4 linked regions of the Yarrowia lipolytica genome follow. The protein of the gene in region 1 interacts with the protein of each later gene in a pairwise test. Links are inferred from orthologs where the notes say so. Each region holds a gene or a part of one and is shown in the gene's direction. Other genes may lie near its edges.

Region 1 (4,427 bases):
CGATAGCCTGGGCACCCTGGTGCTGAGTACCGGTGAAGGTGAGCATAGAGTGATCTCGGTAGAGGTTACCGAGCTGAGACCGGTCGGTATCGAAGGTCTGGTAGTAGAACTCGCAGAACTGCTTGGCGAGGGTGTTGAAATCGACTGTGTTAGCGCTTGGAACGAGACGTATTAGGGGTGATACTCACCAGACATGATGGTTGTGGTAGATGTACAAAAAAAACAAGTGTTGTGTGTATGTATCTAGGGTAGTTTTAAAGTTAGGGTTTGGGAAATAAGGGGGGTGTTGGTTCGATTCCGGGGTGGGTAACACTCTCCAGTGACGAATTGAGGGCCAAAGTCAAATGAATAGTTTATACAAATCCACAAAATCTGTCCACTACATTTAATTACCTTCATTTTGGGCCTGTTTGCAGCCATTAATTACAAGCAATCGAAATCAGCTAAATATACTTTCAGTTAAGCGTTGCATTTTAGAGTTTGTATTAATAAGCACATGCCGAAGCTCTAGAAATTTCTCTGGAGGGTGAATATTCTGATGACAAGGGACGGACTCCAGCACCCAATTGAGATTGTTGCAAGCTGATAATTGTTCCGAAACTTACACTACTTCCATGGTCTTCTTATTGCTGATTTTACACCACTGTCCAGAAGTCGCTTATAGAATGTCAACATATAGGAAGCACGACCAATTTACTCTAACGCACAGGGAATTGCAGTGAGTGAATAGAACCAAAAAAAAGAGACTTGTATCCAGTTTCAGCTTCATCAATGGTCGAATTCAATGTTTCTCCCCTTCCTCAAACCTCTGCAGGCACTCAAGGACGAGGCCGAGGCTCGACCGGTCAAAAACCGAGTTCAGTCCTCCACCACTCTTATCGATCGACGGTCCTTCTACGCGTATCAATGCAATTACCCGGTCTAAGGGTTACCCGTCTTTGAGTGTGGCAAGGTTGATCAGTATCGTACTTGGACTTTTCTATAATCACCTAATTACCACTTTAACAATTACGCAACTATACATTCACAAGGCTACTTAGATAGTATTTACTTTTCGATACGAATACTCAACATCGTCCTTGCATTCCCCCAGCGATGAAAAGAGCAAACATAGAAAGCAAATATGAAAAAGCAAACGTGACTAAGCAAACGTGACTAAGCAAGTGTGACTAAGCAAACGTGACTAAGCAAACGTGACTAAGCAAGTGTGACTAAGAAAATGTGACTAAGCAAACGTCACTAATCGTTTCAAATCTCCACCGCCATCTCTGGTAGGGACACAACCCCGAAAGTGGCTGTACCCGTGACGTGCACTGCCATCATCGAAACGCCAGCCGCTAATCGATGTCTACACGCTGGCTTTATTCCGAAAAATTACATTACCAGTCAACATTCCCCACACAAGTTAATTTCAAAACGAGGGAGATGCTTCGTGTCGGACACGTGATATTGAACCGTCACTACATTAAATAAATCCAGCTGGATGCGGGCTTCTCAACCATCCTTGTCACGGCTCTCCTGCTCCATCCACCTGCCAGATCTCTACGGATATTAATCCGGGTAACCCTTTAGCGTTTCGTGTTGCGTCTCCACGGCAACCCGCATTATCCTGCCACATGTCGTGAACAACCTGCGTGAACCACTAGCTACAGGAACCAGAATACAACATCAACATGGCGGACGTTCAAGTTAGCATGGGCACCGAGCTGCTCGATGGCTGGGAGAAGGTGGACAATTGGGTGAGTGTGGGAAGTGAGGGAGCTGTCCACATGATGTGACTAAGACTCGTGGTATGGAGTAAGGGGGAGATAAGAAAGTGTCGGTATTGGTGTGATTCTTGAGCTGGCGGTGATATTTTCTGTTATAAACGGCTCCGTAGCAACGGATGAAGGTATAGTAAGCCCTGTCTGGTATATCCTCCATCTTCGCATCCAAGAGAGTCTTATTTGGGCCAATCCACGGGTTTCTCTGGAGTCACGAGGAGACGTGGCTAGGCGCCAATTATCTCCATTATCCTCTGCAACTTCACTCAAAGTTCTTACTAACACAGTCTCAACACGGAATCGCCTTCCTCTCGGATGTTCAGTCCTTCTACCGAGAACGAGCCTCCATTGAAAAAGAGTACTCCCAGAAGCTCTCTTCGCTCAGTTCTAAGTACTTTGAGAAGAAAGCTCGAGTGTCTTCCGTTCTATCAGTCGGAGAACATCCTGAAGTCACTCCTGGGTCTCTTGAATCCGCATCTCTTGTCACTTGGGGAGAAATTTTGACCCAGACCGAAACATTGGCCAAGGAGAAGAACCGTCTGGCGTCCGAGCTCAACCTCCAAATCGCCGACCAGGTCCATGCCCTGTCCCTGAAAAGTGAAAACGTCCGAAAGAACCTGCAAACGTTCTCTGAGAAGCTGATTGAGGACCGAGATGGATACTACTCGCTGCTCAAGAAGACCAAAAACGGCTACTACGACGCCTGCCAGGCTGTCGAGAACCAGCGGATGAAGGGCCAAAAGGGAGGAGCGCTGGGCGGTCTCATTGGTCAATCTAAGGAGAAGTTGGAACGGAAGCTTGAGTCGAAGAACGCCGACATGAACGACGCCAAAAATATGTATCTTGTAAAGATCAACGTCGCCAACCGTCTCAAGGACAAGTACTATCACCAGGATGTTCCTGAACTGCTGGATAGATACCAGGAACTCAACGAACTACGAGTCAAGCTGCTCAACGGACTCTTGAGCAAGGCTGCTTCTCTCGAAATTGCATGCAACAATCGATGCACCGAGCATATGAACGCTACCATTGAAATGGTTGCACAAAACCATCCCGTTCTTGACTCTGCCATGTTCACCAAGCACAATATTGCCCCTAACGGATGGGAGGAACCCATCGACTTCATTTACGAGCCGTGCCCTATTTGGCACGACGATGAGAACATGGTTCTCGATGATGTGGCTCTCAGATACCTGCATACTGTACTGGGCGACTCGCAGCGACTCAGCCACCAGTTCGAAGACACTATTGCGTCCAAGGAGGCCGGCTTCCAGGACTTGGAGAAGCGAAAGGCAACGAAGCTGGCCGAGGCAGACTCTGATTCAGCTTCCAACAACCACTTTGAGCTGCTTAGTCAGTCTATCAACGCTCTGAGAAGTCTCACGGTGGACGACACCAAGCGTACCATTGCAGAAGTCGAAACTGAGACCATCAAACACAACACTGGTGAGAAGGATCTCGACTCATACCAACCCGTTGTGATCAAGAAACGACACAACTTCTTGTTTGGCAAAAAGAAGATTGATCGAAACATTCCGGAACCGACACCGGTGAAACGAAGCAACACCACCACCTCAGGATTTGGCGGCACGGGAAAGTTGATTCTGGACACTCTAACATACAGAGAAGGAGACCCCATTCCATGGAACAAGGAGAGTTCTGCATTGGTGTTGTATAGATATGAACCTCAGGGAAGCGACGAGGTGTTCATTTCCGAAAACGAGCATGTGACTGTTCTTGAGACCGATGATGGCTCTGGATGGATTCGAGTGCGGAAGAGCGATGGCACTGACGGACTTGTGCCTGCTTCATATGTCGACATGAACCCTCCCAAGAGTGCCACCACACCATCCTCTGGAGGTGGAGGTGGAAGCTTGAAGTCTGCGTTCTCAATCAAACGAAAGGGTCCTCCTGTCGCGCCCAAACAGGGTGCCAAAAAGGTCGATTACGTCACCGCACTGTATGATTACAATGCCCAGGACGATACCGAGCTGTCGATCAAGGCCGGTGACCAGATTGTGGTGGTGGAGCCCGATAGAGATGGATGGACGGAGGGAGAGTTGAACGGACAAAGAGGTGCTTTCCCCACAAGTTACGTGGAGTAGCTGATGAGACCAACGACTCGAACTTTTCAGCTATGATGCTAACGAGTGGTATAAAGCATAACGAATAAGTCAGTTGTTTGTTCAATGATATTGCTACTTTTTGTTCACCTACAGTGCGATCGTAATTATATACGCGCTGATGGTATTAATCATACAAGTACAGTACGCTGGTAATCGAAGATCACCGCCCAGAAGTTCAATCTACCACTTACACCAGTATAGTATGTAATGTACAACAGCCACACAATTGCCTCTACGCGGAAGCCGCTCATATCTATATTGCAGAATAATACACAATCATTTATTATACACACACGTCCCACTAAGGAGTGGGAGAATCATCATATCGAGGAGCATCATCCGTGGACCAGGCTGCAGGGGTTTCGGCCTGAGCAGGTCCAGAACCTCGAGGATCATAGACACCCGGAGTTCGCGCGTCGTTATAGGCAGCAGGTGTCGGAGCAGAATCTTCCCAAGGATGGTGAGCAGCACCTGGAGTAGGGGCACCCATCATCTCACCAGGAGTGGCAGCAGCGTAGCCTGGAGTGGGAGCCGAGTT
Region 2 (4,453 bases), on another chromosome or scaffold:
TATCCCGAGTTCTCTCATCTCCCTACTTGCTACATATACCTCCATCTCCTTTAACGACAGCTTTGGTAAGCGGAGGTTTAAGCTCGATAGGGTTGTGGGATTCGGTGGCGAGGGAATCTGGGATGGGGGGTTTGGGGACTACACAGTGGGGTTATTAGGATATATATATATATATATATATATATATATAGCGGGGAATCAATCTGTGGACCTCGAGGAGGGTGACAATTGTGTGTGTATTTTTGTTATTACGTAATTGTGGCGTGAGATACATGGCGCACTTGTGTACATGGTAGCTGCTTCATGGGGTTTAGAATATGCGTAGAGACCCAACAATGAGTGGGCAGTTTGGTTCTAGGGGGGGTTATATTACACCGTAGGGGGACACCGTAATTGAATCTTACACAGATACTTACAATAGGCTTCTGAAAAGTCTTTTTTTTTTCTTTTCTGGAACGATTTCGTCCCCCAAAGTTTCGTCACAAATCTTACTTGGATTGCAAACAAAATTACTTTGATTTGTTGACTTCGAGACAGTTACAAAAAAAAAATTAGATAACTTTTCATAGTGTCTTGAGAACAACCACCTCTCGTGTTTACTGCAAAATGTAACTCATATTTTATAATAGTCCTAATCTGTCAGCTTCCCCGATCACATAGATACCATAAAATACAATATCCAAGTAATATATCACCTGATCAGTGCCCAAAACAAACCTCCATATCTATGCGGCTCTGAATTTGTCTTGTTCAGGTTAAGAGCAAAACTGAATTTAGAACACTCGACTGCTTAAGCTTTCGTTATCGAGCCGGAGGCGCCAAACGGATAAACCCAACATGACTATACAGCATACACACACACCCAAGAGGGAATGACAGGACACGTTATGTCGATTTACAAGTGTTCGCGACCCTTTTCTCTCATTAAAACTTCCATTTGGGCGTCTTGTTGCTGTGTTGCGTTGCTCTGCCCTTTTCCAATAAAGTTTGCTTGTGCGAGATGAGCTTGTTAACGGTTGTTTGAGAGTACAAGTACTCGTATGTACTACAAGTAGTGCTGTAGGAGGAGTCTAAACGGGATGTTTAGTAAGCCGGATAGTGGGGATACGTTGTTGGACACGTGATATAAATTTCTGCAGTTGTATGTATGTAATACATCTCTATAGATTACCCCCAAAAAGTCCACCTGTGTGTGTCTCCGTGCAACCTGCATACAAGTGAGGCAGCACAATAGCAAGTGATACATAGCAGCATCCCCCAAAGAGACGCTACTGGGGTAAACCGCCGCGAAGAAAGAGAAAGAAAAAAAGCTTTCGAGTCGTATATCATGTGCGAGACACCACACGACCCTTTTCCTCTTTGGTCTCTGCTCTTCTGACCCTCTCTTGTGACCTCTACTTGCCATCTCCCATCTCATCCATACATACACCACACGTGGATTATACTTTTTGGACTGGTCTCTTGTTGTCTTGTCCGAAAGTGAAGTGTACTTGTAGTGTGTCTGGATAACCGAACTTGTGATCGATCGATTCGCTGCACCGGTATCATGTTTTTGGCGCGATCCACGCGGCTGTCTCTCGCGTCACGTGCCCCGCTCAGTCGCCCGTTACTCGTCCACCAAAGACACTTTTCGCCGACCCTCCAGAACGCCTTTTTATCGGCTAAAAAAGAAGTTACTGCCACCACCGCACGCAAGCCCACCACAGTAGTCGCGTCCCCCAGACCCAAAGGAGCGCTCCGGTTCGAACACAAACGGAGCTTGAAGCCGTCGAAAAACGTCGTCACTGCTCTAACACCAGCCTCTCAGCCCCCTCCGGCCCCCTACATTGTCAAGAAACGCCACTCGTTTGTCTACCGGTTTTTCAAGTCCATCTTCACCCGCTGGAGCAAACAGCAGCGGTTGGAACGGCGCCTGAAACGCGAAGAGCGCAAGAAACGACACAAGGCCGGTCAGCCCAAGGGACGAGACATTGCCCGATTGCTGTACTACTACAGAGCGACCCGAAAACCATACTACTTCAAGCACTGGCTGAGAATGAGTGGATACAACACGCGCAAAATCTGGCAGTCCATCAAGACCAAGTCAGAAACGTTTGTGGCTGAGAAATTGACCCAGAACAACGAGCCGTTGGATCTGTCGGAGACGAACCTGGCACCCACAATCACAGCTTACCCCACCTACTCTCGAATGCTTCCTGATGGAACCCATGAGGTGGATATTAAGGGAACCATCTCTGTGCCTGGAGAATGGACGTCGCGAAAGAACCGGTTTATTCTGAACATGGTCAGATCGTATCTCAGTGGCAACTCCGAGGAAAAACTGGAACGAGATATTGCCGCATTGGAAGAAATTGAGAAGGAGAGACAGGGCCGAATGAGTACTAGGGGGTTCAGAAATGGAGCACAGAGTGCCAGTACCCCGGATTTGATTGATTTGGACGGATCTGAGTCGGTTTCGTCTAGATCGACTACTTCTTCACGTGCTTCATCCGTGAGGGATGGATATGAATCTCCCTCGCGTGATTCCCCTACTGCCGGTAGAAGACGAGTCCCCCCTCCCCCTGCTAGTCGCATCTATTCCAGCAGAACAACCACTATTGCCAGCAGCATCTCGCTGGACTCCACTGCCAGTTCTCAATCACTCCCCGCTGACTCTTCCCTGGAAGACACAATCATGAAGGAGCGGTTTGCGCCATTTGTGGCTCAGCCGCTCGTCAACGCCGTCCTCGATGTCACCATTATAGACGACAATGAGCACGCCACGTCGACGACTCTGCATTCCCACACTTCGGGTAAGTTTGGAACTGCTTTGCGGCTCGATTTCAAGCCAACAATCATGAAAATCCATGTCAGAAACACACCCTATTCGGTCCAGCAGGATCTCATCGATGTGTCATATGAGGGAGTGTCTCTGATTTCCGATATTGATGACACCATCAAACACACTGGAGTGACTGGAGACAAAAAGGCCATGATCAAGAACGTGTTTGTGAAGGATCTGGACGGCCTGAGTATCCCTGGAGTGGTGGAGTGGTACAACAAGTTGTCAGGACTGGGTGTTCAGACCCATTACGTCTCGAATTCACCCTGGCAGCTGTACCCGGTCATCAAGGAGTATTTGCACATGCACGGCTTCCCTAGAGGATCCATTCATCTGAAAGACTACGCTGGAGTCTTGTCTCAGCTTTTTGAAGCCCCTGCTGAACGAAAGAAGTTTAATTTGGAGCAGATTCTGCGAGACTTCCCCCAGCGACGCTTCATTCTCGTTGGAGACTCCGGAGAGGGTGATCTGGAGGCCTACGTGGAACTTGCCAAGGTCTATCCCCAACAGATTCTCGGCATCTATATTCGAGACATTACGTCTGACCGAGAACTGGACTACGACTTTCTTAGAGTCGAAATTGCTGCTCTCAAAAAGGAGGCTGATGAACGAGAACGACCAATGAAAGTGGCGCGCAAGCCTGTTCAGCCTGTAAACCTCATGGACTCTCCTATCGGCAAGAAAGTGCCTCCTCCTGTTCCTAGAAAGCCCGTTGGTCTTGCTGGAAAGAAGACCGATGAGAACGTCGACCGAGAACACACTGGAAAACCGGACTCCGCTGCGTCCAATGCTGCCATCGCTGCTACAGCGGCCTATGGAGCCCCCCCTCTGCCTCCGAGACGCAAGATTCAGCCTGAGACTATGAGAAGCATTTCTGATCAGGTCACCAGTGGATCTATGAACGTGGCAGCATCTCAGGAGACGGATGAGACACCTAGACTGTACTCTGACAATGATCGGCAGTTCAAGTGGAAGGAGCGGGTGAGACGAGCGCGAAGGGAGTTACCTGCTAATGTCAGATTGAGACTATGGAAGGAGCCTCCAAAGGTCGAAGGGGAGACACTGGAGCTGGCAAAGACGGTGGAAAAGGAACCTATTAAGGAGCTGTTATAGTCATGTAAAAAGCTCACCCAGAGCTGAAGCGAGTCGTGATCTAGAGCGGCTCTAGACTGAAGTACAGTAGGAACAACGAGCCTTTCTGGAAACGGTAGCATTTTAAATTATTTGATTAGATTTTACCTTGTTAATTTTTCAAGTAGGATTTGCTGTGTTGTAGGAGTGTACAGTATGTAGTGATATACTGCGTGACATTGACAGTTCAGCGTATCTCTCTATACTGTCTCTGATCGATTGGTTTGTTCTATAAACCTCAGAGATACTGGTGAAGTTCAGGTCCGAGAGAGTAGTACAACCAAGGCCGGAGAGGAACGAACTAGGCATGAGGATAACAAACTATTTCTATGGGCGAGAGGTTGTCATCCATTGAACGTCAACTCTCGAGTGTTTCTGGTCATTCTTCAACCTCGGCGGCTATCGAATACACGGCTATATGCAGCGGGGCTGTGTGAGTCGTGACCTACAAAAACGACTCCACAATCAGCTCTTCCTGGGCACAATAAGAACAGATGGGAT
Region 3 (3,989 bases), about 1.5 Mb from region 1:
GCTGGAAAGCGCGGATTCATCTCCAGAGCCTTCGGACGACGAATCCGAGTCGATTATGGTGGTTCGTTTCTGTCCCGCGTTTTTCTTTCGTTTGAACATGTTGCTGGAGAGTTGAAGTGGTGTGCATCAGGTTGGCGATTAACGTTTGGATGATGGATGATGTAGTTGGGAATTGGAGGAATTAGTTGGAAATTCGGAGGATGGTGACAAAATGAAGAAATCTAGTTGGAATAAAGGAGAACATTAGTTGGAAATTGAAAGAACGTAGTTGGGGATTTGATGAATTTAGTTAACAAAATGGAGGAATGTAGTTGGGGTAGTTGAGTGGAACGGAACGATATAACTCCATCAAGAACGAAGATTTTGATTGCAAAAGAAAAGATTCAAGTCACAAAAGAACAAGCAATAATCCCAAAATCATTCACCAACTCTCACCCCCCAGACAACAAGCCACAACCTGTGCTTCTGACAATGTACTGTACTCCACCACCGCCCAACTCATTAGCCAGGGACAAGAACTGACAGAAACAAAAAATACAACACTAATGGCCTTTCTAAACCACCCCTTAACTCCCCCTTACTAAACTCTGCCTCTACATCACGTGACCCTTCAAACTGCTCGAGAACTCCGCCTGATCCGCATCGGACCTGAAAACTTGTCCGACAAGGGTGTCGAATCGACCAAAATCGAAGCCAGAGAAAAACCAAGCATATCACGAGATTCGCCTCGTCGACAGCTCCATTTTGAGGCGTCCAAACGTCCCGTTCTCGGCCGGGCCAGCTCCCACGGTCTATTTTTAAATTCCCCGAACCATGTTAATACCTCACGCCAATTTTCGCTGAAACTTTTTCTGCAAGGGCAACCATATTGGGATATGTACAAGTAGCGGGAGTTCGGAGCAAGTGAAGCCATGAGAGAAAAGAACATGGGTTAGGTATTATTGGCAGTATCAGGGTCGGGATACTACCCGATCCGGATCACTACCCTTACCCTTACCCTTACCGGAATACTACCCTTACCGCCACCCTTACCGCCACCCTTACCACCACCCTTACCACCACCCTTACTGCTCCATTCGCTCCCCAATAAACTTTGCCATCACCCCAGATTAGAAAGAGCGTGCATTTGGGAGGTGGGGGCATTGGGTCCTAAAAGATACAGCCCTTCCCAGATTCAGATACCAGTAACCACTTACACACACGGCGCGGGGGATCAAAAACCGGCACAAAAAGACCAGGGGCTCCAGAGAGAGAGAGAGAGAGAGACAGAGAGAGACAGAGAGAGAGAGACAGAGAGACCCATTCAAGTGATATACGGGGAGAAACCATTCAAGAGCGCCAATTCCGACCAGCAACCGACGAGAACAGCCGTGGAATTCTGGGGACTGTTTATTTACATCCACGTGATACTGCCGCGGCGACATTTGAGCATTTAGGAACAGCAACGACGACCAGATCAACAGGCGCGTTGCACGTGATTTGACCATTGGTTTGAATTGATTGGAAATCACGTGATATCCCGTCTTGGATCACGTCGAGACTTGAGCAAGACCGAGGTGATCGACTCCCAACAGAGAGAGAGAGAGAGAGAGAGAGAGAGAGAGAGAGAGAGACGAAGCCATTTGTGACTTGCACGTCGAGCACGGACTGCTAAACTACAACACTGACCACACTGACCACTAAACTACAACATTGACCACATTCGTTTCGGTCCATCATTGGTGAGTAAATATGCCCTATCTCAAGGGGAAAGGTCAAACTCAGCTAAGACCGCCATACTAACTCAGCTCACAGACAGCCCATCATCGCTAACCGGTTCACTCTATCAATCCAATGATGGAAACACTACTGGAAAGTCTCATGAGCTCCGTCTCAGACGAGCCTCTTCTTGCACCGGACATTTCCATTCCTCCAGAAGAAGATGGCGACATGTCGGACTCGGACTTCTGGACCAAACTGCTGGATATAGTCTCTGTGAAGACCCACTCATATCCCGTGGTCGAGTCGGCACTGAAGGACTACCTCCTATTTGCAACTAAACATTTATCTGATTTTCTCGTCTCCGACAACGATCTCTTTCGAGCAGGATACAAGCTGACCACTTCTCCGATTTTCACGCTCCACAAAGCCTTCACCCGTCGCAAATTGATCGCCATGTTGACGTTGGCAGAGGAATACACAGACCTGGCGGCGGTGGTGTCTTTGATTCTGCTCATAGACTCTGATTCGCATCCCGCCACTCTGGAAATGATGCAAGAGGAAAACGCATGCCATGCGCTGACTCGGCTCTTGCTGACGTTTCAGAAGACGTCGGCTTTACGGCTCAGAAGAGTGTTGCTCGAGCTCACGTTTGAAATGTGCAAAATCCAGCGAATTTCCACGTCAGACTTGGAAAACATTTCCGACAAGTTTATCGACTCGCTCTTGAGGACCGTTGTCAACGCAGACAGAGACGATACCTCGCTGTACGACGCTTCCGTCATGAAAGTCTTGCTCTGTCTCAATGAGCAGTATATGATTGCAGCTTACGATGAAGACGAAGAGTCGGGGATTTATTCGAGTAAAGTGCTGGATCTGATTTCCCTAGATATCGACGGATACGTGGAGTTTGGCGCAAAGTTGGTGCTGTTACTGAATCGAGCGATAGATACATGTCTTCAGATCATGGGTCTGAAGCTGTTGTATTTGTTGTTCACGAATGAACCCACTTATGAGTATTTCTACACAAACGATCTGTTGGTGCTCATCGACGTGTTCATTCGAGAGCTCCACGACTTGCCCAATGACGAAGAGCAGCTCATTAACACGTATTTGCGAGTTCTCCACCCACTTATGGTCAACTCCCAAATCAGACACGAGCCGTACAAGATTGAGGGTCTGACTGATGTGTTGGAGATGCTTTCAGGTCACAAGGGAAGTAGTACTTTCCTTCCAGTATCAGAGACGACATTACGACTGGCTGTGAGATGTCTCGGAGTCCCGTGGCTGGAGTACACGTTCCCGTCTCCCATGAGCACCGTTCCCCCCTCTCCCAGTTCTTCTATCGGCTCGTTCAACGAGGAGGAGAGCCCCTCAAAGATCCGAGTGCCCAGCATTGGTATGACCGATTTCAGTGGTACTCGGCGACTTAGTCAGAGTTCTCTGGGCACCAATTCGGCCATGTCATCCACCACATCGCTCATTTCCTCACTCAAGCTTGCGCCACCGCCTCCACCGTCACGTGCGTCGTCCAAGGGGCCTCCCGTTCCTCCTCCGTCTAGAGGCAAGTCTCCGATGCCGCAAATATCACGGGTCAAGAGTCCAGCTCCTCCTCCGCCGCCGAGCAGGAATTCTCCTGCGCCGAAGAAGGACGTGAAGGAGTCTCGTGACAAGAAGGACAAGAAGGAGAAGCCGCGGCTGCCTCCCAGCAGAAAGAAACTGCTCGACATGAGTATCAGAAATACCAGCGTGGGAGATTTAAGTGTTGCCGAGCGGGAGTAGGAGATGGAGTTATTGGGTCAGAGCATGAGTATGACCAGGCAATCATCCTTGAGGGACGGTCATAGGTAGAGATAGAGGCTGGTCTTGTGATACTCTAGTTCCATGGTTCCATGGAGTCAGGGCTCGCATACCATTGAATCATCTCAGAGTCTTGTCACCGTTCATTTGGTAAGAGTCTTGACAATGGCAAGAGTACACAACACTGACAAGAGGGTCTATGTGAGGCAAGTAAAAGGAAATGGACCAGGAGGACATAACAGAGTCCAAATCAGCATCTATTTATACTACCACAATACTGTATATAGTTCAAAACACAATCCAACAATATTAGAGGAGTGAGTAGCTGTAGAACCGTCGCCAGGAAGGTTTCTGTTAGATCAATCAGAGTATGTACTACAAGTACTGTAGTATCTACGAGTAGCGGCGGCCAGTCTCTGGTCTGACTTCGATCTGGTGTCGCAAATGGAGGGCTAGGTAGTGTCACATTTCTGAGCCCTAAAGTGGTTGAA
Region 4 (3,173 bases), on another chromosome or scaffold:
AGACAGTGTTATGTAACAGAGACAAACACAGCCGGAAGATGCCACCATGACATATGCTACTCAGCACAGAGGGTAGTTGTGAAGTGGACAAACAGCACAATCGTAGACCACATACTAAAAACTCCAATTCCGTCCTAATCTGTGGCGAATATAGCAGGTGCAAGTATACGTACAGTACAAGGGATAATTCCATGAATCTTATAGTATCTGTCTCAGTACTTTTAATGTGGTTTAGTGCGCTCAAACATGTTCCGCATCATGTTCGCCGATTGGCTACTGCGCCACAATCTCCCAAACTAGCCACACTTAGTCAGCACAACGTGCAGATACTCAATTCTATATCGAAACTTAGCCACTTTTCCTCATCAACAATGCAAGTTCTCAGAGTGGCTCGATATGGCGCTAGCCGCATTGGAAGGATTTCCACCACAGCTCCTGCCTTCACTACACTGACCCCTCAATGTGCCTCTCGACAGTTTTCGACCAGAAGCGCTCTGCTTAACAACAAAAACATGTTCAACACCAACAGTGAAGAACCTAAGCAGCAGAAGAAGCAGTCTGGAGCTAACGAGCTGGAGAGCGACGAGCCAGAGCCGCAATCACAGAAGAAGAACCGAAAGCGTTTTGTCTTCCTCGGTCTTTGTGCCCTCATGCCTATCATTTCGGGCTACCTTGGCACATGGCAAGTCAAACGTCTGCAGTGGAAGGTGGACAAGATTGCCGATTGTGAGAACCGACTTCTCCAGGAGCCTCTGCCCCTGCCTGGACACATTACCGAGGACCAGGAGGTTCTGGAGAGAGAGTTTGAGTACCGAAAGGTGGTGGTTACTGGTACACTGTGCCACGATGAAGAGTTCCTGGTCGGACCTCGAATGAAGGACTCTGTCGAGGGCTACTTCCTTGTGACTCCTCTCGACCGATCTAAGACCGGTGGATCCAAGCTGCTGATTAAGCGAGGCTGGATTTCCAAGGAGATGGCGGACCAAAAGAAACGAGACCCTCTCGCTCTGCCCAAGGGCGAGGTTTCTCTCGTCTGTCTGCTCAGACCTGTTCCTCTCAAGAACATGTTCACTCCCGATTCCCCAACTTCCCCCAGTGTCCGAATCTACAACTTCATGGACATTCCGACAATGTCCAAGTTCACCGGAGCTCAGAACATTTACTTGGAGGAGGAGCTCAACATGCGCCTCGGAGGCCACGAGTGGGTCACCGAGTCCCATATGATGAACCATGGAGTGCCCATTGGAAAGCTGCCCAAGGTCGATCTTCGAAACACCCATTTACAGTATATTGCCACCTGGTACGGCGTGTGTGTGTTTACCACCGTCATGCTTGTCATTATGTGGCGAAAGGGCCGAATGAGCACTCTCGACAAGAAGGTCGCTTACTCTCGAAAGTACGTTACTTAAGGGAGAATTATTTGTACATAGCTAATAGAGTCTTCACGGAAGAAGGGGAGAGTGAGCAAGCTTGCGGGCTTGCTTATGAGCGGGTACGAACCTGCTTGTATAGCTGCATAGCTATCTATTATTGATGAGTTGTGATGCCCTCGTAGCCAACTTTTTTTTTCTTCTGCATTTGTACAATTTACAGCCTGAAGCTTGTTAAGAACGAGCAGCTAGTTCAAAGTTTAGTAGATGTTTACTTGGACTCAGCTCCACCTGGTACTTGTATGCAGGGGAAAAAGAAAAAAAAAGCACGTTGTCCTATTAACGGCCCCTTGAAAAAATTCTTGCGCTATCTAAACCTCTACTTGTAGTTCAGCTCCAAAAACCTCGCCATACTTTCCATAAATCCATTTTTGTACCCCTGACTCCGAAAGCAGTGCATCCCGTGCACATCACATTGTGCCAACCACAACAATAAAAGTTTAGGTTGTTGGAACTACTCACACCTTGGAGATACATCACCAACCTAACACGTCATCTAACAAACAACGAGGGCTCGTACCGCAAACTAGCTACTTTCACCATGAACGCGATTCACAACCATCTGGTGAAGCAGAATGCCAGCTTAAAGAAGGACCTGTCCGAGTTCTCCGCCAACCCCGCAGGGGCGCCCATGTCGCTACAAGGCCAGATTTCGGCTACCATGACCTCCTTCAGCCGAACCCTGGACGACTATTCGGAAATTATCAACAAGGAACACAACAAGGAGAAGAAGGAAAAGGCTGAGGCACGTCTGGCTCGGTTTCGTGAAGAGCTGGCCGACGCACGAAGCGAGTTCAAGAACCTCAGATCGGCCCGAGAAGAGAAAACGCTAGAGGAGAACAAAACGGCGCTGTTTGGAGACAACCCTTACGGCGAGTCGCGAAACAGAAACGTGAACCGAGACGTGCCGATTCAGCCGACCTACACAGATCTTACACGAGAAGAGGGCATGCAAAGGGAACAGTCGTCTCTGAACCAGGTGGGCCAGCAGCTCGACTCATTCATTGAGCAGGGAATGGCTGCTCTGGGCGACTTGCAGGAGCAGAGCGACATTTTGAGAAGCACCGGAAAGAAGATGCGGTCTGTGGCCGAGACTCTGGGTCTGTCTCGAGAGACCATCAAGATGGTGGAGAAGAGAGCACGACAGGACAAACGGTTTTTCTACGGAGGCATCGTCTTCATGCTCGTGTGTTTCTATTACATCTTGAAGTGGTTCAGTTAGGAGACGACCAGCAAGCTAATGGTCATAAAAACAAAACAACGCGACTCAAAACAAAACAAAACAGAGAGCCCAGAGTGAGAGAGAACAGGTACGGTTTAATTAACGGTGGAACAATCTTTACATATAATAATAGATAATGGTGGACATGCTGAGGAGGATGATACGGAAATTGACTACCTGTATATAGTTACAAGTGAGACAAAACTATGAGTTATCTACATACCGTAGGGCATGTCCCTATCACTCCTACTTGGCTCCTACATACGAACTTTTATCATATCCTGATCAGTGTTATCCACCCAAACTCTAATAGTTTAATACAAGAACGGGACAATCTGAAAAGTTGGATGTGACGCAACAGTACACTCACCATGAACCAACAAATCAACGCGGAGATTGTCAAGCTGGTGGGAAACGTTCCGATTCCAAGGGAGGTGACAAATCTCGCATCCACGCTCATGGGCAAGGCTCAGACAATTCCAATGAAGCCCAACGAGACTCCTGCTCGCATGGCTCTGTGT

What was found.
Region 2: the proteins of YALI1_C16255g (region 1) and YALI1_D02546g interact in binary tests that used the Saccharomyces cerevisiae proteins (3 or more experiments, as listed by UniProt). The link is inferred for Yarrowia lipolytica from reciprocal best matches to the Saccharomyces cerevisiae genes BZZ1 and APP1.
Region 3: the proteins of YALI1_C16255g (region 1) and YALI1_C30884g interact in binary tests that used the Saccharomyces cerevisiae proteins (3 or more experiments, as listed by UniProt). The link is inferred for Yarrowia lipolytica from reciprocal best matches to the Saccharomyces cerevisiae genes BZZ1 and LDB17.
Region 4: the proteins of YALI1_C16255g (region 1) and YALI1_F39272g interact in a two-hybrid assay, tested with the Saccharomyces cerevisiae proteins (2 studies listed by BioGRID). The link is inferred for Yarrowia lipolytica from reciprocal best matches to the Saccharomyces cerevisiae genes BZZ1 and BOS1.

Annotation. Positions count from the first base shown.
Region 1 is NC_090772.1:1,623,129-1,627,555, reverse strand, and holds YALI1_C16255g (uncharacterized protein), read left to right. Parts: upstream 1-1,673; coding exon 1,674-1,739; intron 1,740-2,050; coding exon 2,051-3,868; downstream 3,869-4,427. Other genes in the region: YALI1_C16275g (uncharacterized protein), read right to left, coding at 1-46; YALI1_C16204g (uncharacterized protein), read right to left, coding at 4,191-4,427. UniProt on the Saccharomyces cerevisiae protein: Plays a role in endocytosis and trafficking to the vacuole. Functions with type I myosins to restore polarity of the actin cytoskeleton after NaCl stress.
Region 2 is NC_090773.1:251,697-256,149, reverse strand, and holds YALI1_D02546g (uncharacterized protein), read left to right. Parts: upstream 1-1,546; coding exon 1,547-3,934; downstream 3,935-4,453. UniProt on the Saccharomyces cerevisiae protein: Mg(2+)-dependent phosphatidate (PA) phosphatase which catalyzes the dephosphorylation of PA to yield diacylglycerol. May play a role in vesicular trafficking through its PAP activity at cortical actin patches.
Region 3 is NC_090772.1:3,086,298-3,090,286, reverse strand, and holds YALI1_C30884g (uncharacterized protein), read left to right. Parts: upstream 1-1,833; coding exon 1,834-3,480; downstream 3,481-3,989. Other genes in the region: YALI1_C30901g (uncharacterized protein), read right to left, coding at 1-99; YALI1_C30859g (uncharacterized protein), read right to left, coding at 3,749-3,989. UniProt on the Saccharomyces cerevisiae protein: May be involved in protein-linked oligosaccharide phosphorylation since the deletion reduces the negative charge of the cell surface.
Region 4 is NC_090775.1:3,926,007-3,929,179, reverse strand, and holds YALI1_F39272g (uncharacterized protein), read left to right. Parts: upstream 1-1,971; coding exon 1,972-2,652; downstream 2,653-3,173. Other genes in the region: YALI1_F39291g (uncharacterized protein), read left to right, coding at 54-1,409; YALI1_F39261g (uncharacterized protein), read left to right, coding at 3,024-3,173.